Linked DNA regions of Rattus norvegicus. The protein of the gene in region 2 interacts with the protein of the main gene of each other region in a biochemical or structural test. Links are inferred from orthologs where the notes say so. Each region holds a gene or a part of one and is shown on either strand. Other genes may lie near its edges.

The links.
Region 1: the proteins of Myo5b (region 2) and Rab11fip2 form a complex in vitro, tested with the Homo sapiens proteins (2 studies listed by BioGRID). The link is inferred for Rattus norvegicus from reciprocal best matches to the Homo sapiens genes MYO5B and RAB11FIP2.

What each region holds. Positions count from the first base shown.
Region 1 is NC_086019.1:269,076,609-269,081,152, forward strand, and holds the start of Rab11fip2 (rab11 family-interacting protein 2), read right to left. Parts: upstream 3,054-4,544; 5' UTR 3,050-3,053; coding exon 2,697-3,049; intron 1-2,696. UniProt on the Homo sapiens protein: A Rab11 effector binding preferentially phosphatidylinositol 3,4,5-trisphosphate (PtdInsP3) and phosphatidic acid (PA) and acting in the regulation of the transport of vesicles from the endosomal recycling compartment (ERC) to the plasma membrane.
Region 2 is NC_086036.1:70,572,355-70,576,166, reverse strand, and holds part of Myo5b (unconventional myosin-Vb), read right to left. Parts: intron 2,818-3,812; coding exon 2,695-2,817; intron 1,755-2,694; coding exon 1,617-1,754; intron 1-1,616. UniProt on the Homo sapiens protein: May be involved in vesicular trafficking via its association with the CART complex. The CART complex is necessary for efficient transferrin receptor recycling but not for EGFR degradation.

The DNA.
Region 1 (4,544 bases), on a different chromosome or scaffold from region 2:
TCAGAAATGGGACAAGCCTGGCAATAAGGAGGCCAGAGGCTAGGAGGCAGGTGCAAAGCGCGTGTGTACACACACACACACACACACACACACACACACACACACCCCTACATATATATGTGCAAGTCTCATCTAACTCTAGATTCTCTATTATTAATTTTTTGAGATCATTGAAACAAAGAGAGCATCACCTACTTGGATTGTTAAAAAAAAAATCAATGGATATTACATAACAGCATCAATGATTTTCCCATTCTATTATTAAACACTGTGTTATTTCCTTAAATCTCATGCCAGAACCAACCCAGACATCTATTAAAGAAGGCAAATGCAAAAGTTCTCTTTCTCCTCAAAGGATTTGGCTTGGGGCCTCCCCACCCCCTCTCCTTTAAAAAGAAATAATAAAATAATACACACACACACACACACACACACACACACACACACACACACACACATATATATATATATATATATTCAGAGTAGAAAAATAGGTTAAAATAATAGTTTTAAGCACAATACTTTTCGCCTCTCATGACACAACTGGAAGACAAGATGTAAACACTTGTCGTTTTCACTGTCGGAAAGTACAAAGTGTCACACCCAGCAGTTTCGTGGGACATCTCAATCAGCTGGTAGCCTTCATCACTCATTCTACTTTTCCAAAAGGCACTTGGGAATATGCTGACAAGGGCTAGCAATGTGCAGAATATTAAATACCTTTCTTTTAATACACTAGTGGCTCAAGTCTGTCTCTTACTATGCCACATGTGCAGCTGGGCTGGAAAAGGAAGCTATTAAATATATTAAAAATCTAGAAATATTACCAATAAAGATACCTCATCAAATACGCAGTTCCCATTTAGTCGCCCGCACAAAACAGTAAGGGTTTAATAACATATGAAAATCTCTTTGTATGCAGTAACATCGCAAACCCTGTTGATAGCATTTCAAAGCATCTCCCCTCCAAAAGCTGTCCTTGATTTTATAGACAGACTACACTGTTAAAGAGTATTGTTCATGGTCTAGTTTATTGTAACTGCAAAGCTGCCAAAGACGGAAATAAAACAAGAAATTTTTAAAAGGCTACTTCTTTCTCAGGATCTTTGGATCTACACTTGGGCCTACTTAAATTTGGGAATTTACGTTCGAGGGGTCTGTGGTATATTACCATTAATATTAAAAGTACTTTTTAAAGCACAGTAAGAAATTTGAAACTGTACATGCTTGAAAGCTCACAGTCAAAACACTTTAAAGGTATACACTGAGTCACTTCAAAGTGACAATTTGGGGCAAATTATTTGGTTACTATTGATTTTTCATTTTAACGCTGATGAAGAACTCCTCGGAAGAAAGAACATGCTATTTGTTAAATATTAGGAAATTTAAAAATCATTAAATATACAACTTAAACTTTCTCCCCCCTCAACTGAATATTTACCTATTTTTTTCTTGTTGCATTTCTAGTGTTTTATCTTACATAAACTAAATCTTAGGTAAAGACTTTATTCAAAACAAAACAAAAATAATTCCTATTAAATGAAGTTTTCTGGCAGGCTTTAAAAGGGAAAAAAGAGAAAAGATCATTATACTTAAAAGAAATTAATGTGAACTTAAAATTATCATGGAAAGTGCTCTAAAGGGTAGGTAGATAAACATCCATCAGGACTGCGTTTTGCTTTTTTTTTTTTTTTTTTTTTTTTAAGCTACTTGGGAAGAGGGACACCCTCTGATGAGTTCCCCCAACCCTCTTTTCATAAACTCCAGCCATCTCCAGGAGCCTTCAGGCCCACTATAAGCTATGTATGTAAGGTGAAGCCTGGACAGGCATGTAAGCTAAAGGGCAGGACAGGAGGTCTGCCTTTCCAAACTTGCTACTTGTTTCAACTTAGGACATAATATCCTAGTGTTGGTTTGCATCCTGATTTCTTAAATTAAGTATATCTAACTTGGGCTTGAAAGTTCTATTTCAAAAGCCATGTTTTCATCAAAGAAGTCATTAAATCACTGCATCACAAGACTGTAATCACTGTCTCCAATCTTACACCAGTTAATTCCGTCTAAACACAACAGCTTTGCTGAACTGATTCTTCAGTAAACAATAGCTCCACTATGCTGCAAATTCAAAGGAAAAATGTCAGTGGGTTCAAGACTGAAGATGTCTGTGCAGACTTCCAAAACTTTTCTTTTAACAACTTTCTCCCTATCAAGAAGTACTGACCCTGAAAACTGGTGGAGCAAAAATAAAGGCCAACTGTTTCCAATGCTGAAATACGGTTCTAAAATTAGAAACTTATCTTTTGACAGCCTTTATTAGTAATTTACCTTTTAACAGTGCTCAACAAACATAAACCTAATGGTACACATATATTTAATTTTCTGGTTTTCCAGTTCATGCTCTAGGCCTCTAATAAAAAGTATTAAAATCCAATGCAAAATATTCCACTGTTTAAGAGCCCTTTACCTCACACAGAAATGGGGCGGGGGGGGGGGGGGGGGGGACTGGTTCACTAATCACTCCATTAAAAAAAAATTCAGAGCAAAGGCTATTTTCACTTCAAAGTCATGCAAAGAGAAGTGCTTAAAACTGGATCCTATTTCAACCCCAAAGACCAATGCCTCGAATATACTGTTCAAGTACAGTAAATCCATGTATCTTTAAGTACCCAAAATTCAAAATAAATTATGTAACTTACTCTGTTTTCCTTCTTTGTTTGTCCTCAAAGATGTCATTGAGATTGATTGCCACCTGCCCTAAAAACTTATCCAGTCCCACCAGGGACCTGTGCATCACTATAAGAAAAAGAATGTATTTCTCCGGATTACCCTGCATGAGCAACCCAGGCAGCTCAAAAGAGGCCTCCTCCTTCCAGACCGGCTCCAGGGTTTTCTCCGCTACAGATGTAGAATACTTCTCTTTGCCCAACTGAATTATGGTGTATGTGTCATTGGTGCCACTTTTGCCTTTTGGCTTCAGATCTTTAGCTTGGAGCACTGTGACCTGCACGTGGGTTGGAAACCACTTTTGGGCTTGCTCAGACAGCATCATTCTGGGGCTTTTTTTGTTTTGTTTTGTTTTTCGGTTTTGTTTTTTCTTTTTGTTTTTGTTTTTCTCTGAGCAGAGTTCAGAAGCACAGGCAGCGCCCCTCCCGCGGGGAGAGCCCCGTACACTGATCACTGCATCCTTAAGGGCACTTCAGCGAGCTGGGGAGTCAGGGCTGCCCCGAGGTCCCTAAGGGCTGATGTCAAGAGGACCGGCCCGGTGGCCGCCGCCGCTGCGGGGGTCCCTTTCTTCCGTAGAAGCACAGGGGCCCACATCACCTCCGCGCCGTCCGGGCCTCCGCGCGCAGCCCCGCGCCTCGCGTCGCCGCCGTGCCGGGGCCTGTGCCCCTACGGCCCGGCCTCAGCCCCGCGCGGCCCGGCTCCTCCTCCGACCCGGCTGATACGAACCGTCGGCAGCCGCCGGGCCTGGCTCCCACCGCCCGCGCGGCCTCGCCTCGCCTCGGCTCCTCCCCCGAGAGTGGCGCAGGCCTGGGAAAGCGGGTCGGAAGCGGCCGTCCTGGACCGACGCCGGAGGGACGCGGGGCGCGGGCGGCAAACTGAGACCGGCGGCGGCACCAGGCGAGGCCTGGACAGCGACCCGCGGCTCCTAGCGCCGGGCGCGCGGCGGCCGCGCCACTTCCGGGTTGGCCGTCTCCATGTTGAGCGGGACTGCGCGAGGGGCGGGGCCGGGCGGGGTTGGGGGTCAGCGCCTCCCTGGTTGCCGTGACGACGGGGCGCGCGGTGCGGCACGCGGAGGCTGGGGTGCGCGCGCTGGACGGTGGGTGCTGAGGTTCCAGCCTGTCGGTTACTGCGCTCTGAGGACGTGAGAACCCGCGGAGGCCGACAGGGGGTTCTGGGAGGTGGCCCTGGGCCCTGAACACAACGCCCGCACTTGGGGGAGAATCGGTTTCCATCTTGGAAGACAGGAATCTGCCCCAGCTGTGTGTTCAGTCCTGACTAGGCGCTGGTGTCCTTAAATGGTGGTAGAGCACTTAGCTCTTCTTGAGAGGCAATTCTTCCTCCATTCTCCATGTCTTGAAGAGGAAACCTTCAACTGACTAAAGGGACCTCCTCCTGAGCACAGACCAAAAGCGAAGGACTCAGATTTCAAATCTACCCTTGCTTAATAAAGATCCTAGACGCTTTGGGATGGCGTCAGAGACCTGGTTCTGACCCCGTGCCTGCCGCCATAATTCTATGGAACTATTTAGTCATCTTTCCCTTCCTAATTTGTGTGTATGGCGTCCAAGTCAAAAGCGTTCCCTGAGTGCTGTCAAGTGCTCAGGAAACCAAACCACAACTTCATGGCTAGAGAGGACACGAGCTCTATGTCTCCCTTTTCCCGCTCTACTTTATTTCCATCCATGTCTTCCTAGAAAAATTCTTAAGTTCTTTGAACTACCTGCCAGTATATCCAACCTGTGGCCAACAATAGCTATGAGTGGGGCCAAATGTAATTATTATGAGAGTATTTAACTGCATTGTGCTTTTCTTCAGGGAGA
Region 2 (3,812 bases):
ACGACACCCCGCCAAGACTCTGACGGCGAGCCACCCCAGAGTGTATTCAGTCAGAATGGCCATACAGAGAAAGTAAAAATGAATCTTTTTTTAAAGATTTATTTATTTTATGTATATAAGTACACTGTCACTGTCTTCAGACACACTAGAAGAGGGCATCAGATCCCATTACAGATGGTTGTGAGCCACCATGTGGTTGCTGGGATTTGAACTCAGGACCTCTGGAAGAAGAGTCAGTGCTCTTAACTACTGAGCCACCTCTCCAGCCCAATAAAAATGAATCTTAAAAACCAAACAAAATGAGGGCTCAGCAGTTAAGAGCACTGACTCGCTCTTTCAGAGGTGCCCCTGTTGCCCTTTTCTGGTGTGTGTGAAGTAATAGTGTACTTGTATACATATTATACCACGTCAGAATGGAAAGGAAAGAAAGGTGTTATGAAAAAAGAGTCTGGGTCCAGGATGGGGGTCAAGGATGGAGGGGGAGGGGGAGGAGGAGAGGGAGGGAGGGGGAGAGGGAGGGGGAGGAAGACGAGGAGAGTCAAATCCCACAATTTTCAGTTTAGGCATGAGAATAGATTTTGCTAGTGGTATGGCGCAGAGCTGGACTTAAATCCCACGAGAAGTTCTCCTCACAACTTCACGGTGAGAAAAAGGGGTTCTTATCTCTGACAGCTCTCTGCTGTGGCAGTACTGATAGGTTTGTAATCAACGGCATTCCCAGTCACACTACAACCTTCTTTTTTTATTTTACACCTGAGCTACATTTCCTACTCCCAAACCTGATTTAAATTCCCCAATGGCTAAGTTTGTCTCCTGCATTTTTACCGGTCTTAAAAAAAGAAACTATGCATAGCGACTGTGTGTGTGTGTCTGTGTGTGTGTGTATGTGTGTGTGTGTGTGCGCACACACAGGCATATGTGTGTCTGTCATGGCTTGCCTATGCCATGGTATCTGTGAAAACCAGAGGACAGCTTCTTGCAGGCATCAGTTCTCTCCTCCCATCATGTGTGTCCCTTGGATCTAACTCAGGCCAGCAGGCTTGACAGCGAGGGTCTTCATGATCCTGAGAGGCATCTTGCTGGCTCTGTTTTCTCTTTTGCACGCCCACGTTGTGTATTTGCTTCGAGCCTGATACTGGCATAGTTCTGTGTTTATAGCTTAGGTTCCCCAAAAGTCCTTGAGACAAATAAATTACTTTTAGATGTAAAGTTTCACACAGTATCCTTTCAAGATGCAAGAGGATAGGGATGTCATCAGTTGTGGTGACACAAAGGCACAGCCGTAGGTGAGAAGGGTCTCCTCTGGCTCTCAGCCAGGTGGCTGAGCTTGTGTTAGATTCCAGGCACGAGAGGGTGGTAGACTTTCTCTGCTGATTCTGACTTCTGCTGTTTTATTTTCTCTGCACCTGATGCCAGTCCTCCAGGCATGAGCTCCCAGACTCCCTACTGCTTCCCAGTGGAAATCCTTTGCCCTGGGATACTCAGGGAGCACACCCAGCTCAGAGGCAGTGGGGTGAGACATTCACAGAGAGTGATCAATTTGGTTCCCACAAGAGGAAGCTCTGAAGCCCAACACCACTGAGACCCCATGGGCTCACAACAGAGCGGCTACGCACCTGCACTTTCTTGCTGTCCTGTTGTTCCTTTTCTAGCTGCACCTGCAGCTTCTTCCTCTCCTGCTCAAGTTCCCGCACTCTCTTCTGCAGCTTCAAGAAGACAGTCATGTCCATGGCTGCCTTCTCTATACCAATCTCCTGCAAACGGAGAGGGGTATCCAGAAGGTAGTTTTCACAGCACAAATGCTCCTGGGAACAATGCCTGGCTGCCCACCCCTGTATCAGTCATCTGTCTCCTTGCTCCTCCCCAGTACCAATCCTTGCCTCCAACACAAAGCCAGTGTCAAACCACTAGTATTTCCCATCAGAAAGCTGGTGCTGCTGGCTTATTCTCTTCAATAACATCTGTGTCTCAGCCGTTCACATTCCTCCTGTGAGAGCCACTTAAGTGACCAATCGCATACTCTAAGGAACAACTGAAAACAGGCACAGGCATTTTCTTTGGAAGGTAAAAGGGAATTCACTTCTGGAAAATGGCATTACAAGAGGGAAACTAAATCTTGGGACACAGTGCTTCCTGATGGGGGATCACTGTGACCTCCGGTCACTGTCGTGATGCCAACGAGTACCCGATCGTAACTTGAAACAAGCAATACTTGCCCTGCCGTGGAGCGCGCTGCTCCAACAGATCTTGATACATTGATCTCCCAGTGCATTCCTATCCTTTCAGATCCGGGTCTGGATTTTACTATGTGGCTAAGTATGTAGACAAGCATGTGCTTGCCTGTCGGTAGGCAATGCGTCTGAGTGCACATCAGTCTGTTTTTGCATGTCGGAAGCATGGTGATGTCCCACCTCATGTAATGAGCACAACTCAGGGTCAGTCTCACTGCCTGTGAGCCGCAGAGCCGTGAGGATGACCGTGCCCATATCTACATGGAAACGGCATGCACACGGATGTGACGCCATATATCAGTAAATTCGCTGCAACCCAGTGATCCTGTTCTCAACGTCCGTGCCCTGGGCCCTCTGAGGCACCACCAACAGAGCAGTATATCTCATATCTCTCTTGGGTGGTTCCATGCAGGCAATTAAGTGTCCTCAACAGGACAACTGCAAACAGTTGTCCCAGACTTACCTCCACCTGCTGTAGGGCATCCTCGGTGTCTCCGATTTCTGAGGTGGAAATGGAGGGGTAATTGGAGTCAGATTCTAAGCTACTTTGATTTGATGGGTTCTTCCTGTGGCCTGGAGTTTGCTGCTGAAGGAGGAAAAAAAAAAAACGTGACAACTCGTAACCAGTTCATATTAATGTGAAGTAACTTCTCAAGGAGCCCCGGACATCAGCCACTGCCTCTCGTCAACAACTGTGGGCAGTAGCGCTCCTTGGAACAGTGGATAAATAGTTATTCCCATGAATGCCAGGCAAATACTCTACCGGTGTTTTATAACCCACAGCACCCAGAAAGCGAGGAGAGAACAGCCTTTTACTCGAGCCGTGCCCTCGGATTGCACAGTGCACCCTTCTCCACGTTCTTGAAAGGAACCCTTTCTGCAACCCTTTCCCACACGGCCTCTCCTTCCACCCCGGTTCTGCTCATGAAAACGAGAGTAATTAGGAATAGAGCCTACCTCCCGTGCTATTCATTTAAAAAGACCTTTTGGCTTATGTTTTTGGCAGCTGGTTTGTCTTTTAAGAGTGAAAACCGAGCTTGGTGGAATTTATAGATTTCTATTTCAGTTCCCACTCAGATTCCTTTCCTGGTTTCTATGCAACTAACTCTCGGATGTCGAATATGCATGTTGGGAGGGAGTTACTCGTACGGGTAAAGAGGAATGTCAAATCCTGAGATGTCACAAAAATATCTTGTATTTTGTCAGAGATTAGGAGACCCAATCGGGTTCCAAGGGTCTCTCTCCACACGGACCAATGCAGCTGAGGTCAGAGCCTACAACACCATTGTCTCAACAGTGGAATTGTCTAGAACAAGAAGCAGATGGCAATAGACACATGCAGGAAGATAAGTTTTAACCTCCTAAGATCTCAATAAGACCTCAGCTTTTGGAAAGGGCATCCTCAGAAGGTGACCACCTAACCACAGAGTTCACAGAGGAACGAAAGAACAAGTGGTCCTTGCACACATGCATGTTTCCTGAGCATGGCATTGCCAGAGGGCAAGGGCTATGCAGCCAGCTCTAAAAGGGCAGAAAGGGAAGCCATTGCCACCAGGCAGCAGAGCTGCCTCCCTTCCCTTT